2 linked regions of the Drosophila melanogaster genome follow. The protein of the gene in region 1 interacts with the protein of each later gene in a pairwise test. Each region holds a gene or a part of one and is shown in the gene's direction. Other genes may lie near its edges. The genes, in order: Karl and sosie.

The links.
Region 2: the proteins of Karl (region 1) and sosie interact in a two-hybrid assay, tested with the Drosophila melanogaster proteins (one large-scale study listed by BioGRID).

What each region holds. Positions count from the first base shown.
Region 1 is NC_004354.4:11,784,938-11,793,720, forward strand, and holds Karl (karl), read left to right. Parts: upstream 1-2,443; 5' UTR 2,444-3,399; intron 3,400-3,550; exon of another isoform or gene 3,551-3,833; 5' UTR 3,834-4,001; coding exon 4,002-4,166; intron 4,167-5,858; exon of another isoform or gene 5,859-5,920; coding exon 5,921-6,058; exon of another isoform or gene 6,059-6,084; intron 6,085-6,123; coding exon 6,124-6,247; exon of another isoform or gene 6,248-6,266; intron 6,267-6,410; exon of another isoform or gene 6,411-6,420; coding exon 6,421-6,794; 3' UTR 6,795-7,316; downstream 7,317-8,783. Other genes in the region: CkIIbeta (casein kinase II beta subunit), read left to right, coding at 8,510-8,581.
Region 2 is NT_033777.3:24,834,252-24,842,179, forward strand, and holds sosie (sosie), read left to right. Parts: upstream 1-2,429; 5' UTR 2,430-2,821; coding exon 2,822-2,966; intron 2,967-3,799; coding exon 3,800-3,946; intron 3,947-5,061; coding exon 5,062-5,238; intron 5,239-5,360; coding exon 5,361-5,452; 3' UTR 5,453-6,237; downstream 6,238-7,928. Other genes in the region: CG33658 (uncharacterized protein), read right to left, coding at 6,258-6,413, 6,465-6,632, 6,691-6,912.

The sequences.
Region 1 (8,783 bases):
GCGTTGACATTGGAGAAGGGGACACAGTCTGCGAGTTGGTGAGGCTGGGAAGTCTGGCGAGGATGGGGAGGCTGGGGAGTCTGGAAGCTCGGCCATTCGGACAGCTAGACAAACACACCCACTTTCCAAATGAAAACAAAATCGCGGACCACCAAATAGCAGCACGAAGTCGCCTCCATCCTCTTCCCCCATATTTCCCATTTTGTTTTTATTTTTCTACTCCATCGCCATAAAAATAGTAAAAAAAAAAAAAAAATGAAAAAAAAATGCGAGTGTCTGAGCCGCAGACCGACGATCGTGAAATATCGATGCTGAATGCGACGCGCATGCGCAAACAAAACGGAACCCACTTGATGGGCTATGTTTTTTTTTTTTCTTTCTTTTTCGGCCGATCTTGGACGACGGATGATGAATGGTGGCCATGGGAAGGGCACGCACAGACCCCAAGACCCCAATCCCCACCCAAATTCCCCTCACCGCGGTTTTTCCAGCATTTACGAGCTTGTGTCTCTGCATAATTGAGCCAGCGGCCAGCGAAAACTAGCCATGATCTACGGTGTATCATGTGGCAGCAAGTGTGGCACTCCAAGTAATCCCACACGCTTTCCCAGCCGCACGCACTCGAGATCTGGTGGAGGAGCAGCTGATGGACACCACTGCACTCCAGAATCATGCGCCGAGTGACGCGAGTGGGTAAAAGTTGATTTACTTGCAAAGGCCCAAGATCTTAATAACTTGGCTTAGTTGCGCGAATGGGTTCAAGTTGTAACTAATTGCAAGATTTTAGTGGAATATTGAGGAAATATGCTTAAATATCATATTCAAAACAAATGAAAATGAAATTAGTAGGATATATTAATGTTAAGTTTTAAGTTTAAGATAAGATTAATTAGTGTATCTAAACCATCTTATTTTTGTTTTTTTTTTTTTGTTTTCCATATTTGTGAACTTTATGAGCTTGCCAAGCTACTTTTAAGACGTAAAGTGACCACAACTAGTAGAAATCTTCAACTTCAAAGTAATGGCCATGTAAAATATATATATGTACATATATATATTTGCAATAAAACGAGAAATTTGCCTATCGCTAATCAAGAAGGTCGATTGTCTTGGCAGCTGAAAGTTGCTACCATAATCCATCGGTCTGATCCCAAGTTCGGTATGCCATTAACGAACCCACCGGACGTGGACACCATCCAACAACGTCCAGCTCAATTTCTGCGCTAACTTTTCTGTTTTTTTTTTTTTATTCCACCAATTTGTTGTTGCGTTTTATTTTTGCCATTTTATGCGGCTGTTGTTGCGAATTGCTTGGCAGGCGAGCATCGATCAATTGCAAATAGAAAACAAATCTCCAATCAGCCGGATTGCTCCCATGGATATGCCCATGGGTGGAGCATCGAAAAGAGGGGGAAGGGGGCTCAGCTAGATGGGTTGCGGGTGGGCAATTGGCAACAAAAAACAAAAAAAAAAAAGAGACACCAAACGCAGCGATGCTGCGAAAGAAAGTGTTAAGACCAATTTGGAATATTCGCTGGTGAAATTTAAATCATTTTCAAATTTAATTACCGGCAAATAAACGTTTGACATTCCACACCGCACCGCACCGCACCAGACATTCCGTCGACTGTCACCTGTAGCTCAAGCTCCAGCTCAAGCTCACCTGTGGATTCCGATTCCGGCTGCAAAGATTTCAGTTTTCAGTTGCCCCACCTGTTGCCCCATTCAGTTTTTGGATGGCAGCTCGAATTCGAAGTCGGATTCGGGTGTGGCACTCCCAGTGAGTGAGGCATTCCGATTCCGGCTACAGACCCCCATTTATGTGGCCATTTCATTTGGATGGATGGATGATCGCCTGGCGTGGCCAAAAGATCTCAGCCAGAGTCGTTCATTGAGAAAACGCAATGGGTAGCCGGATGAGAACACTGCGAGAAACTGGCGATTACTTAAGTGCTATTGCTTAAAATATTACATTAAACGAAGGGTTTATTTAAATTCACAATGTTTAAGCCAGCTCACTTTCTGATTTGGTATTTCAAAATAAATATCTTTAGCTGAACTTAAGAATACCCAAATAGTTCTATAGCATTTTAATAAACCTTTAACTATTTTAACGTAGCTTATTATAGCTTAAAATAAATTATTCGAATTGGAAAGTATATTTAAATATATTCATGATATCCTATTTAGTTGAATAGGCTTCAAAATGTTCGCCCACATATGGGTTAAGGACTTTCGGAATGTTGGCCTACTTATTCGGTTTCGCTATCTTCCTCCCCGCTGATCCTGTCCTTCATCCGCCCTTGATCTTGGTTTTCATTCATCCCGGCACACACACACACGCACAAGCTCCATTTTGAGAGAGAGAAAAAGCGTGCAGAGAGAGTGGAAAATAGAGAGAGCTAGAGAGCGAAAGGAGCAGGCGACATTTCTTCGATTGCGCACTTGTTGCTTTAGTTCGTTTCATTTCGTCTCGCTGCCGCATTAAGAGCCGCTTTTCGCTTCGGTGCGTCTGCGAAGGGGCGGAAGGTGGTGCTGAGAAGAGGGGGGTGGCGAATGGTGGGAGAAAGGCGATGGAAGGGGCAAGGAAGGAGCTGCCGTAGAAGCCGGAACTGGCCGCTAACGCATCGCAACGCAATGCGGCGACGAAAGTTGCGCCGCTTTTTTGGGCTGGCCAACAAAAAACCAGACGGCTCCAAAAGAAATGGGAGAAAAAAGCAAAAAAAAAAAGACGAAGCTAAAAAGAAGCTAAACTGCAGACGCAGGCGGAAGAAGAAGCGGCGGCGGCGGCGGCAAAAGTAGCAACCTTCGAGGATGTCCAGTTTCATTCCAGTCCGGTCGTGAAAATGCCGCGCAACTCGTTTCGCAATAAAGAGAAAGTGTCCAGCGGATCGCGCTGTTCGTTCTGGCGATCGTAAAGAATAAATTTGCAGGCTATTAAAATGTTTCCTGTTTCCACTCACCACCGCTCAACGCTCCCCGCTCTCACCCGCTCTTTTCCGCATCCACTTCGCCACCCCGAAAATTTCGCTCTCCGCGGCGAGAAAGTTGCCTGGAAATCTGGAAATCTGCATCCATGCGACAAGTGAAAACAAGATGCAGCCAAAAATACCTACTCCCGTTCCCCAGACTCTATATATTTCCATACAAGCCTGCAAATATGTGTATGTATATGCTTACATACATAGGTATGTGCGCATTGGAAGGCGTTGACTGGACTTTACTGGCAAACGGACGTTATAATTGATAAGAGCGACTAACTCACCCGCGCTCTTGAGAGCAAGGGGAAATGGAACGGCGGCTGATTAAGTTCCAATATTAAACTGCTGAAAAGAGATGGCATCGCCTTGGAAAACCGCTAATCTTTCGGTGCTAGCGATTACAGGAAGTAATGGAAAGGTGTAGGAAAACATATCTTGGTTCTGAAATTGTATACTTTTTATTTAAATAATTTAATTGGTTATATTGTAATTAAATGTCACGACAACTGCTACTTTTTCCCGCTCAAATCCACTCCTATATATGGCTAAAATCGAGCCAAGTGCTCAGTAATGTCATTTATTTCCAGCTACCCGATAATGACCCAGCCACAGCTATTCCCATAGAATTCTGTGGCAATAAGAAGGCGCCTTATCCGCAAAAACATCCGAATCCGTTGCGTTCCGATTTGTTGTGCACTCGAAGAAACAACTCTCAATATTTAATAGTAAAAATAATTTTAAGATCAAGGAATACTTTAGAACCCTAGATTAAGACACTTAAATAGTGTGATGGCACTTACTGAGATCTCCAAGACTTCCAAAACTAAAGTTATTGCACCACTGTGTGCCAAGATTTTTTAGAGTGTACTTATTGCTGACTGCTAATGTCGCATGTTGCTCGCGGAGATGGCGCAGTGCCATCGAAAACAGTTCCAGCTACAGCGCAACGGAGATCGAGCGTCTGAACCCGCCGGAAGATCAACGACAATAAATAATTGTAGCTCACCGTCATCCGGATTAATGGAGAGGATCATGGGCAGGAATGGATCGCTCCTACTGACCGCCGTCCTCATAATTATCCTGGATGTTTTGCTTGCACCAGTGGGTGCCAACCTGTGGACACGACACAATAGCAATGCCTATCAAACCAGGAGGCGCTCAGGTCCCAGCAATCGGTGTCCCAAGGTAAGTACATCACCCACTAGCCCCTCCTATCAAGGTCAACTAAACATTGTAGAGCATAAATATACATATATGTGGTTCATACTATGACTCAGACTCTTGATAGAGATGTAATCTTGCTGAGTAAAAAGCCCCTTATGAAATTCAAATTATGACTTAGAGAAAATAACAACACTTGTTTCAAACCAACCAACCAGATATTAAGGTCACCTTCGGGCGATGAATTTGGCTAAGCGAATAGAACGGCAGACAGTCGAGGCAATCCATTAGATAGTCGGACGCAGGTGCAGTTTTGGATGTACAGGTTCCCGTCCCTGGTCACGTCCCCGGCCTCTTCTAACTGGATCACTTTCTTTGGCAACGCTTCGATTCGATTTCATTCTAAGCACAGCCGCCGGAGGAGGAAAGCATCTCAAATCCAAGCCCAAAAGCGAGTCAAACTCAAAGGCTCATCAATATGCCGGGCGCACTGTGACACATTTCAAGTCGCTAGTGATGGCACCATCTAGTTAGCTGGTACAAAAAAAAAAATAGCGCCTACAGTCGAACTTCCTTAAATCAAACGACTCTGTGGCAATAGCTATGAATTCTAACCTCAAAGATAGTATAATATTCGGTTATAATAGTACTATGGGTCTTATAATAGACTTTCCTGTGTCCTGCCCCACTGGAAATCATCCAACGATTGACGGGAACGTTCCATCTCTAGCGAATAGAATGAATGGGACATAAAGCGAGCGCAGAAAGAGCCAGGCAGAAGAAATGGGCTCACACCGATGCCAAAATCAATCACACTTTCTAAGTGGCTCAGACGTCGTCTGAGTCTTGTCTTGTCTTCTCTTCTCTTCTCTGCCCGTCCCCTTTCTTCTCACTCCCCTCTCTTCATCGTCTGCATCTCCGTTGGCGGCGACAATTGCACTTTGATGCAGGTGCAGTTCGACAAATACTGCTACGAATACAAACACCGAAAAGCGAGCCAAAAGTCAGAAAACAATCAGCAATAATAGACAAAAGACACGCACGTAGAGACCCGAAGAAAGAGATGGCGGGAAGACAGTGCCGAAAGAGGGGGTGCAGTGAAAAGGGGATAAGGGGGGGGGGGGGGGCACATGCGGTGCAATGCGCTTTTGAGGCGCATCAATCAGAGGCTGTCTTGCGTCTGCATCTCGTGTCTGCGCGTCGCGACTTGCAAAACAGCGAAAGAGACGGCAACAGCGGTGCAGAGAGAGGGACGGCCATACTGACTTCTCAATGAACTGTCAGTAGTCAATCACGGTGACAGCGCTAACGGCTTTCGTCGTCTGTCGCTTCTTCGACTCTTTCACCAACCGAAGTTTGTTTTGTTTTGTGGTCGCCAGGGCAAACAATGTAAATACACACATGCAGCTAGCTAAGTTGAATTGGGATTATAGCCAAGATGCATTTGTGGTCTTAACGTTTATTGGGCATATTTATTAGCAGCCCTGACCTCTCAAATATCATAATAATGATCGTACACCAGGGTTTTTAAATACCCATTAAAAAGCACGACTGTCTCAAGAGTTATTATAAATATAAGATATGTATGTGAATCTTAACCAGAAACCCTCGCTGTCTAATGTATATATATATAGGTAATAGAAAAAAACTCCTATCATAAAGTATAATAGATCTTTATCATTATAGATTACATTATATATTATATTATACAACATTATAAAGACCTCCTCTAAATTACTTACATATCTAACTTATTATGGAACTAATTTTCCGTTTAGGTGGGAGCCATTAAGAACTTCGATTTGGAGCGCATGATGGGCTGTTGGCACGTGGTTCAGTATTACGCATCCACAGAGGAACTTCCGGAGTACGCGTGCATGCGCAGTCACTTTTCCTTTTCCAAAGAGGATCAGCATGTGAGTGGCAGCAAGGACCTTTATCCCTATTACAAATTATACCTCAATACCTCAATTTAAATTAGATAACGATGAACTTTAGCTACATATTTGCGGAGGATCCGCTGCGCGAGAAGCTCGTGGGCAACATCACCTGGATGATACCCAAATTCCAAGAGCCAGGACATTGGCAGCACACGGAGGACATATGTGAGTGATGGAAATGTTTCTACAATCAAATTCAAAACGAAAATCTATTCAAAATGTAGTTGTGATACGTTTGAAGTAGTTTGGTAATTACTATGCCAAAGAGTAATTCGATCTGCCCGGGTTTAATATATGTTTTAAGCAGTATTTTCGTTTCTATATGTACCTCCTTGCAGATGAGGGCATCTACAACACATACGTTCTGGACACGGACTACGACACCTGGGGCCTGGTGATGCACTGCGCCGAGAAGAAGAAGCAACCACGTTACCTGTCCGCCCTGCTTTTGTCGCGGAAAACATCGTTGGCCGACAACGAGATCAGCTTTCTGCGCGGCAAGTTGCCGCAGGATATCGACACATCCTTTATGTTTAACATCGGGCAGGAATCGTGCGACAATCTAATGGAATCTAGTCGCGACGATCCACTGGCCTATGTTGTGAATGGACGCAAGAGAGCCAAGGAAATCTTCAAAATTATCAATAAGCCTGACGGCAGAGTGCGCGCTAGTAGCGAAGCGAGAAGCTATGAGCAAAGCGAGAAGCTGTGAGCAAAGCGAGTCGATGGCAGAGTAAGAGCTAAGCGAGAAACGAGCTACATTGCTCTCTTTTAGTTATTAATGTGAACGTGATGGATTCGGACGAGGAATTTTTTGCATCAAGCGCAACTATTAACTTTCTGTTAAAACTGTCGTCCACCCTCTTAACTGAAATAGAAATGAAAAAGGCGAATTCAATAATTTATATAAAAGGTTATTTACAGAATGGAACAAGACAAAACAAAATAACGTGTGTTTTGAAAATAAACGGTAATATAGCGCAGAATATAACAAAACAATCGTACGCCCTGAGCGAGTTGAAGCGATAAGGCCTTGCTCTCGCTTTTTCGCTTAAGCTCGCAACTCGCTTCGCTCTCACTCTGACATCTTTCGAGCGATTGCGCTTAAAATGCATGCAGTGGGTTTATCGCTCGTTCTTGTATTATTAGTCTAATCAATCAACTAAGAGAAAATATTATACGAAAACCCGATTTATTTTGTCAATAATACAAATTTAAATAAGCACTTTCAAACATTTCAAACTTTCAACATAGTGTTACCATACAACTAAACGAAATAATACCTTAAAGTAGTTGTAAGAAAATATTGCTAGCTGCAATCGGTAAATTATTTGACAAATGGCAAAACAGCCAACTAAATGCTGGTAATAAACAATATTTTAATATTTGGCTTGATTTGCTTATTTAACAAATAATTCCGCGTTTTGTTTGGTTAATTGCTTTTCCGAACCAGTGTTGCGAAACGCGCAATCCCGATTAGCCGATACATCGCTTAGCGATGACACGGCGCCACATCGATTGGCAATCGCCTGCGGACAGCGCAGGACAGCGGTAATCGATAGTCGAGATTGCATACCTGATATCATCGTCTTCGCTACAATATTTGCCTTTACCGGTTCAGCTGCAGTACAAAAGTCGATCAATTTGAGTAATTATTAACAATTTGGGTGAGTGCTGGCCACTGGAAGATAGCCGCAGCGGGAAAAATACAGAATAGCAAGTTGGTGTGCGTTGGATTGCGCTCATCGGTGTAAAGGCGTGCGTGTGTGCACGTCCCTATGTGCGCTTCGCGGTGTGCGTGTTTGCTTGTGTGCGTGTGGTGGCCCCTGTATATGTGTCTCTTTTTTTCTCAATTTCCAACAGTGTGTGCTTCTTCTTGCTGCTCGGCACATTTTGTATGAGCGCTTGTCAATTGTCACAATACGAGTATAAAAATTTATTTTTATGCCCCCCGACCACACGAATTTCAACGGTGCGATCACCGAAAACTAGTAACATTGTACAAGCAACGCGAATTAAACGGAAAACCGAAAACAAAAACCCCAAAAGGCCAATCCAACCAAAAAAAAAGAGGAGGAAAGAAGAAAAAAGCGGAAAAAGAGAGTGTGGTTTGTGCGAGCAACAAGAAGCGGAACCAAAAGGAAACGTGAAGAAAGCAGGGGGGGTGGGGTAGACAAGAAAGTGCCAAGATTCCGTTCCAAGATATTTTAACAATAAATTTCGCACGCCAGCCCAAATTACGCAAAATAATCCCCTTAATGTATGTAATAGTGCGTGAGCGTTTGTCCCAGTGTGTGTGCCATGATTGCCTGTGTGTGTGAGAGTGCGGTGTGCATGTGTGGTATGCGTGTGCAGGATAATTTGTCAGCAAAAAAAAAACGATGAAAATATGAATTAGCAACTCCATTCGCTTATCTTTGCAGCAAAATGAGCAGCTCCGAGGAAGTCTCCTGGGTCACCTGGTTCTGTGGACTTCGTGGCAATGAGTTCTTCTGCGAGGTGAGATATCATCATCATATCAGCATCAACGACGAATTACCCGCGTTCTTCGCTGTAATCGCGTTATCTAAGCGCGCGCTATAAGTGCAACAATTGCAAAGTGCAGCCCTCAATCTCTGCCTTTGCGCGCGCGTGTGTGTGTGTGTGTGTGCGTGTGTGCCGCAAGGTGGGGCAATACCGAGCCCAACTGTACACACATGTC
Region 2 (7,928 bases), on another chromosome or scaffold:
TGCTGTGCCCGGCAACATTTATCAATAATGTCAAGAAATAAATATCCGAAATAAATTTCAGACTCTGCCGCATGGCGAATTGAATGGACTGGACTGGCTGAATAATAATTAAAGGAACTTATTTTTACATGTAAATATAAATATTTTCCATTCCGAATGACGCGGTGCGGCGGGATTTGCGTAAATGGAGAAAGTACTATGGAATAAATCATTGTCAAGTCGGCAAATCTAGAAAAACAATTACGAAATCCAATATAATTAGTGCCTTTTAACTTATTTAAATAATTTTAAGTACATCCAATTCTTTAAAATGACCCACGTGTCTTATAAATCTCTTCAATATCGCTCAAAATAATTTTTTTACCTTTTACAATTTTTGAAGAAAATCATAAAAATTTTCTAATATAAGTTAAGCAAACAGAGATATTAGGATATCTGAAATATATTTTCCAAAATTGGCTTAATGCTTTCCACGGTCCTTGAACCCGACCAGATTCGTGTCCCATTTAGTTATATCCACCGATTTTCGTGAATATATTTTCTGGACTTCCTTTCCGTTCGCTGTGCGTGTGCGATATAAATTCGCATTTAGTTGGAGAAAATTGTTTATGCTGTCGCAGCGATTAAAGCAATCGTTTATAAGGCGATCGAGAAGGCAGATAAGGAGCACCAGGACCCATATAGCCTGACATTTTCCACAATCGGAGTCGGAAGAGGGTCGAAAGTACATGAAGTGCAAAGGAATTTGTGTTTGGCAAATTGGGCGAGTTCTTCATGTCCCAACTGACCTCAAAGTGTTCCTCTTCGAATGGGTGGGTGTAAATTATTGGCTCAGTTTGAAAAGTGGAGCTTCGTATATTTAGACGATTGAAGCAGACATGGCCAAAAGTTGGGCATCCGTTTCTGCCTGTTCGATATCCGCCTAAATGGTGCCTTGCCAAATTGGGCTAAAGGGGCGTGGCCAGTCACCTTTCTTTTTTGGACAGCTTAGCTGCATTCTGCAGCTGAAAGTTAAAAAAGTTAAAAGTTGAAAGCAACAAGCAAGCCACTCTCATCTGGGCAATTTAGCAAATGTAATTAGGGCCATGCAGCGCCCAAAAGTAAAAAAAGGGGGAAAAAATAATCATAAACAACGGCAGGAGAAATTAGGGAGCGAGCAAAGAATAATGGCCAAAATAACTATTTGCCTTTGACTAACCAGTTTCTGTTGTTGTTTCGCCTGGTGCGTGCTAATGTTACACTTTATTGTTGTTGTGGCTGTTGCTCAACTCCGTGGGCCCCAAAAAGTAGGCTATGCAATGGTCGTATGCCTCTAATGCCTTCGTCATTATTATAGTTCCCACACACACACCCACTGCCACACACACACACCCAAGACGAGGACGAGGAGAAAAGGACGAGGTCGCCACCGCCAGCGGCTACAATAAAAACAGGTGCACGAAGGTGAGGCAGCTACAAAAATCCATCTTCGTTAACAAAACTCGCTCACGAAATACACAAAAGCAGCGAAACAGTTACAAGTGCGTCGCAGCTCACTTTCCATACACCATATAGCATATACCATATAGCATACGGCCCAAAACTAATCCCATACTGCCTGCGAAAGTTTCGAAATCTGCCCGGAGATTCCATGCTATCTAGCTTCTTGTCAGCGAAACATTGGTTAGGTGGAATACCCTTTGCCCACTTGGGGGATCTCTTAATTATGCATGCGGGTGTCTGTCCTTCTGGAATCCGATTTTATGGAATGTCCCGGAATGCGTGAATTCATTTCTACTCAGCCGCAATTGGTTGGACGTATGTATACTTGGTTGCCTACATCTAAAATTAATGTTTTATCATTTTGTGGGAAGCTCATTGCTGCCAATTTTTGTGTGCGTCAGCAGAATCGTTTCCCATAACGCATAAAAACCTGTATTGTTTAACTTGATATTCAGTTGTATATATTTTACCATATATATTATGAGTTATTTTTTTAAGAATGAAATATGAAGCTGTTGTTTTTAACAAACCAGAACTTCACTTCCAATTGTAGAGTATAGACTTCTGTTAAAATTACACATGTAACATAAGTACATAACTATATGGTATCTCAACTTCCAATTTACTAAAATAAATACAAGTATATTATGTATTGTTATTATACAAAGTATTAAAGAAGATTTGCTGAGTGGGAACTTAAGTATGATATAAGGGTATCTGGAAGACGACTATCATTCGCCGCCAATGTGGCAAAGGGGTTCTATGCCTGGCTGAGCAGGTGAGCGGACTGCGGGGGCGGTGGGTGGCTAGCTGGCGAGGAGCACTCAGATGGGTAGCAGATGGTGGCAGGTGGGAGGTGGAAGGTGGCGCCGGTGTGCGCGAGCGCCAAGTAGCCACCAGCAGCGACATCGCAGCAACTTAAGGTCCGTGTGCGCCGCGAATTCTTCACTTGCATTTCGAGCGCGCAGGCGACTGGTTGGAGCTACCCGTCCGAAGACCCCAAGTGGAAGTTGCGACTATAGCGAGTGCCCCAAAGTATTGGAGATTTTTTGGAGTGACGCCTCTCGTGCGGTTTTGTTTTGCTTCGGACTTTCTGGCGGAGCGGAAACGATTTCGGTGTGAAAATTTGCATAAAATTGTGCCCGCGAAACCGACATAGAAACGAAAAAAGCGTTAAGTAAACCAATTTAAAGCCTTTGGGCCGTTTTTCAAGCTCGCAAAGTGCGTGTGCAACCCGTTGCGGTCCTGTGGAATTTATATAAGACCCGAAAAAGGACTTCTTTCCGACTTCTTCAAGTCCTGGTCTCGACTCAAAACTCGATTAGTTACCGATTCCAAAATGCAGCCCCTGAAGCGCTTCACACAATGCGGCAGTCTGACCATGCTCTTCGGCATCTTCATCATCCTCTTCGGGGTCAGCTCCACGGCTCTGACCACTTTTGGCAAGACCAACAATCAGCCGCCTCCCACGCACGTCCCAATTGGTAAGAGAACCCCCGGGGTTGGTAACGAAAAGGCCCATCAAAGTCGCTGGCAAGGTCAAGAGGAGTTTCTTGTCAAGATTGGGCGAGGGATTAAAAGTGGTTCGAGTTTAAAAGTAATCGTGCAGTAATTTTGCTATAACTCGTACTCCAGCATTAGCCGATAAGTGAATATGACTACTATTACTATAACAATATTCATATAAGATTATTCTTTAAGAAAAATACCAAACAAAGAGATACATTAACTTCTGTTTTAAAAAACTGATTTTGAGTTAGAAGTTAACTATTTTAATGCACTTAACTTGACTCTCATTATAATGTGATATATACGTTGTCTTAGACCTTCCCGATAAAGCCCCACATCACTTAAGTTCGATTAACCGCTAATTAAGACACCTGGTCGTTAGCCAAACAAATAGCCAACCATCCAGTTTGTCTGATCCAATCATTTGTCATTCGATTGACTTGGTAGTCGCTCATAAATAAATGGAATAATAATTATGGCACAGAGCCAGCACAGATTGAACGACACGACACAGAACACAGAACATTGCTAACACAAATCGAATCGAGAATTGATCAAACAAGTCACTCAAGTGCAATGACAACCCACGCTCCACGAATCCCTGACATTAGGAGCGGGGGCGGTAATATCCCTGTGATTGGAGTTGGTAAACCGAAACGGATAGAGTAGATATAGATAGGCGGACAAGCGGTGATTTGTGTTGGCTCAAGTTGGTACCCAAATAATCACACAATTAGTGGGCAATTAGCTAGGCAAACTGGCTAGTTAAGTGTCCTTTTTTAACTTGGATTCCTATCATTAATTGCAGTTAAAGGACGAGAGTGCAGTGCCCACGATGATTGCACGGCGATAGATCGCACCAGCTGCGTCAAGGATCCCAATGACTACAAGCTGCGTTGCCTATGCGGCGACGACTCGCCTCCTTCGGCTGGCAGCTGTCCAGATGTCCTGAAAGGTAATGTATCACCTATATAGAAAAGTACTTACCCATATTCCCCAAGGATATAAATATACAAGTTGTAATCTAGAGAAACCACTGACACTTAAACAGCATTCCTAAAAATAAATTTTTCGCGGCTGATATGCTTTAGTTACTAGTCAGTTAGTTACTATTTATTTATGTTAAAAAAATTAAAAAATCATTGATGTTAAATATTAATCATAATGTTCTGTATCTCCGCTCCTTTGACCGCCCGCCTTTGCAGAATCCTTTAGCTCGTTTCCCGAAATAGAACAGCCAACAAAAAGTCAGCTAATTGCTAAGACATGCACATTACATTTATTATTTAAGAGGCCGCTGCTTTCTTGGAGGCCTCCTCCGTGATGAGCCAGTGCCTCAAGTGGCATGTGAGGTGATGCGTCCAAGGCGCCACCTAAATGAGAATTAAACAAAGAAGCATCCTTCCAGAATGGCCACCCCCAAAGCCCACTTTCACCTTTCTTCGCTATTTGCCTGCTTATTTATTTAGTTTTCCGTGCGCGATTCACACTTGCCTTCTCGGCATCCTTGGGTCATGTGCCCGCCATTGTTGGCCCTACAGTCCCTTGGTTCTTTGGTCCTTTGGTCTTGGGTCCTCTAGTTTCCCAGTTCTCCAGCCCTCCTCCAGCTCCACTCCAGTTCTTGGCGGGGCCAGAGGTGGACCGCTTTATGGCGGCGCAATGTCGATGTCGGATTTATGTTAGGATGTCGTGACTCCTCCGATGGGGCAACTCAAACGAGGCCCCAAACGAGAGGCAAATGGTAATGGGAATCGCCGCAGTGCCAATTTGTGACATGCACAGCCCAGAAGAAATGTTATACGCGATTTTTGCATGCACGTTTCCCCAGTTTTTGGCATTGGGAGTTGTTCTCCGTGTTGGAGATCTACTTTCTGGCGGGGATACATTGTAATACACCAGAGTATAGAATTTCCAGACTATTATAGGTCTGCATAATAGCGTTATTATAATAAAATGGCTGCTAAATGATACCGGTGTATTGAGTCGGTTTAAATTTAGTTATAAGCATGGAGTATAGCTAATTCCACTGGCGGTATGCTAATATCTTAATAATATTTGCGCATTTTGCAGGCCTGCGTCACAAGTGCAACAGCAACAACGACTGCGAGGATGGAATGGTGTGCCAGTACGAGAACAGCAACCGCACCATCGGAGTGGCCAAGTTCATGTCCAGCAAGACCAAGCTGTGTCTCTGCGACAACGACAACGGATATGTGGAGGACATCCTGCACGACATCTGCAGTGGAGGTGAGAGGTTTCTCATCCAATACATTCCATAACTATTATAACTATTGTCATAGTATTACAAATATAGTACACACAAAAATAGGATGTATCATGGTTCCTAATCCATCTTCTTTGCCTTTCAGCTAATCTTCAGGGCCTGGTCAGCTTCTTGGTCTCGATCTGCTCACTTCTGGCGCCCTTTTTGGTATCCGCCCACATGCGAAAGCATTTCTAGAAGGCGATCGTCGAAAGCGGAACCGGAAGACGTAGTTTGGCGTTTATCTACCCCAGTGATCCATCAAATGTGCCTCAGTGAAACCAACAGAAACAAAAGATCATCCTACCCCTACCACTAACCCCTCACATATAAAAAAATACGAAAAGTAAATCTTGAAAAGCGAAAAAAATAAGAGAAAATACGTGGAAATGAAATTAAGAAAGTTAGATACTCGTCGCCATTAGCCTAAAAGTCGTTCTATTGTATAAGTTTCATATGTACCACCGTCAAGTTTATTCGCTTCTCACGAAAAGTTGCGTTATATACAATATACATAATTATATTATCTGATAAACGTTTTCCATAGATCCCCAATCGAACTTAGTCCGTACTCCCTACACTAGACAGACCGAAGTAACTTTAGATCAAATGTTAGGCACCATTTTATTGTAATTTTATATGAGTGTACGTGTGTGTCCAGGAATAATCACTAAAAATCGAGAGAAATTATCTAGTGATAGGCAACTTTTCAGCAGCACTGTGAATTCAGATCGCTTACATCGCAATTACAAATGTGAAACATTTTTAATTTTTGTATGTATTCAATATAAATAGCTTTACGAGCTCACAGCCCATAATCGAATGGAATAATAATAATAATAATAATAATAAAATATGGGAGACGATAAAAGTTAATAATATTTTCATGTCCAAGTTGCAGGTCCAGATAAGAATTTCACCCATTAAAACCGTTTTCTTCGTAGCTGTTATCTATACTATTTAATAAAAACCTTTAAAAACCCAAACGAATAGTACTTTTCCATCAATAATGACAGAAATATATCTTGGTTACCACACGGTACTTTTCATTGGCAATCCAATAGGTCTGAAACATGTAGTTTCCTGTGGGAAAGGGCAGAGTTTTTGGTAGTCGGGAATTAATAGTCTCAGAGGTAAGTTTCTCCATTATAATGTCGTGCTAAAAAACGTGGGAATGATTAGTTGGAATAGGGAACACGATCTTTCTTACGTTGTACGGACAGGAATGATTCAAGTTGCTGATATTCCTTATAAAATCGTAAAAGTATTTGGCGACTACATTGGACTTTGTGTTCTTCATGAATTGGCAACCGTCAATAGTGATGTTGTATAGGAAGGGCTTATACCCATTGATCTGCTGGTGCAATCCAAAATTCACCTGAAATATAATAATTTTACTCAATAGATTGCTAAACAACTAAACTTGCTTAACTAACCTTTAGGCTGTTCAGTAATTTTAATACCTTAATCCGGGTGGAGAGGTATTGATAAGTTCGATTAACTGATTTTAGAAAACAGTATTCGATATCGGCCACGTCCTTAGCCATGGATGTGCACTTGAAGTTCGTGAACTCGATATGAGAATAAATCTGTGTTTTAGTGAAAGCTATTGTATATTGCCTATTAATTTGTTTATAACCTCTGACCTGGTTTATCATGATGAAATGCAATAGAAGCACGAAGCAAAAGTATTTTTCTAAGCACATTTCAATTCATTCGGATATCAAGTGAGACTGAAGCTACATTTTCATTATATCGGACTCATTGAAATCAGGAAAAAAATCTGAAATTAATATTTGGTAATGATTGCTTTTACCTTAATTTCTTTAATTGCTAGTTATATGCAGATAAGCCAGACGAAAATTGGATCCAGTGAACTGGAACGTACGCACTCCTAAGGCAAGGCATGTATTAGACAATAAACATACCCCTTATGATTATGAATAAGGAAATATTTACATAGTTGCAATATTTATGAAATCGATTTCAGGCCAGATAAGCTGTGATACTGACTTACTACGGATATGAAATCTACTCGTATTTTAAATTCCAAGGACAATTAGCTTCCCCCCCCAATAGAAATTCCCATTTCTAACTACACTTGCGTCTCCGTCCAAACGATCGGTTATCCAACCCAAATCGATTAAATGCACGGCATTGATTATAAATAGTTCGGTGTAGATTTAATGCAGCAGCACAGTTTTCAATATGTTAACAAGCTGGATATTTTGTAATGCCAACGCCTTTCGCTGGCCCCCATTCGCTGATTACTTTCAAATTTCTCGCGGAGAATCGGAGAATCGGGCAATCGGGGATTTGGTGAAAGAGCGCAGAGAAATGGGGGCTGTAGTGGAAGTGAAAAGCTCGGCGCGGGCACACAAAGCTCCACTCTCGGATCACAAAAACAAACAGCGCCACGCTCCCAAGCACAATTACACGATTGGTCTCCGAGAGGTGACAACTTCGAGGGCTTTTCGGCGATCCAGAGATCTGAACGGGCAGTTAGTTAGCCGTGTTTCCCTAACCGATTCGGCTGTGCCATCCGCAAGATCGCAATTTTCGTCGTGGAAACTTCAAGCCTCGAAACGAATTCGAAGTTCGCGTCTGTGCAAACAAATTATAAACGCACCATTTATGCTCGGACTTTATGGGTGCATTTCGGCAGTGATTTGCA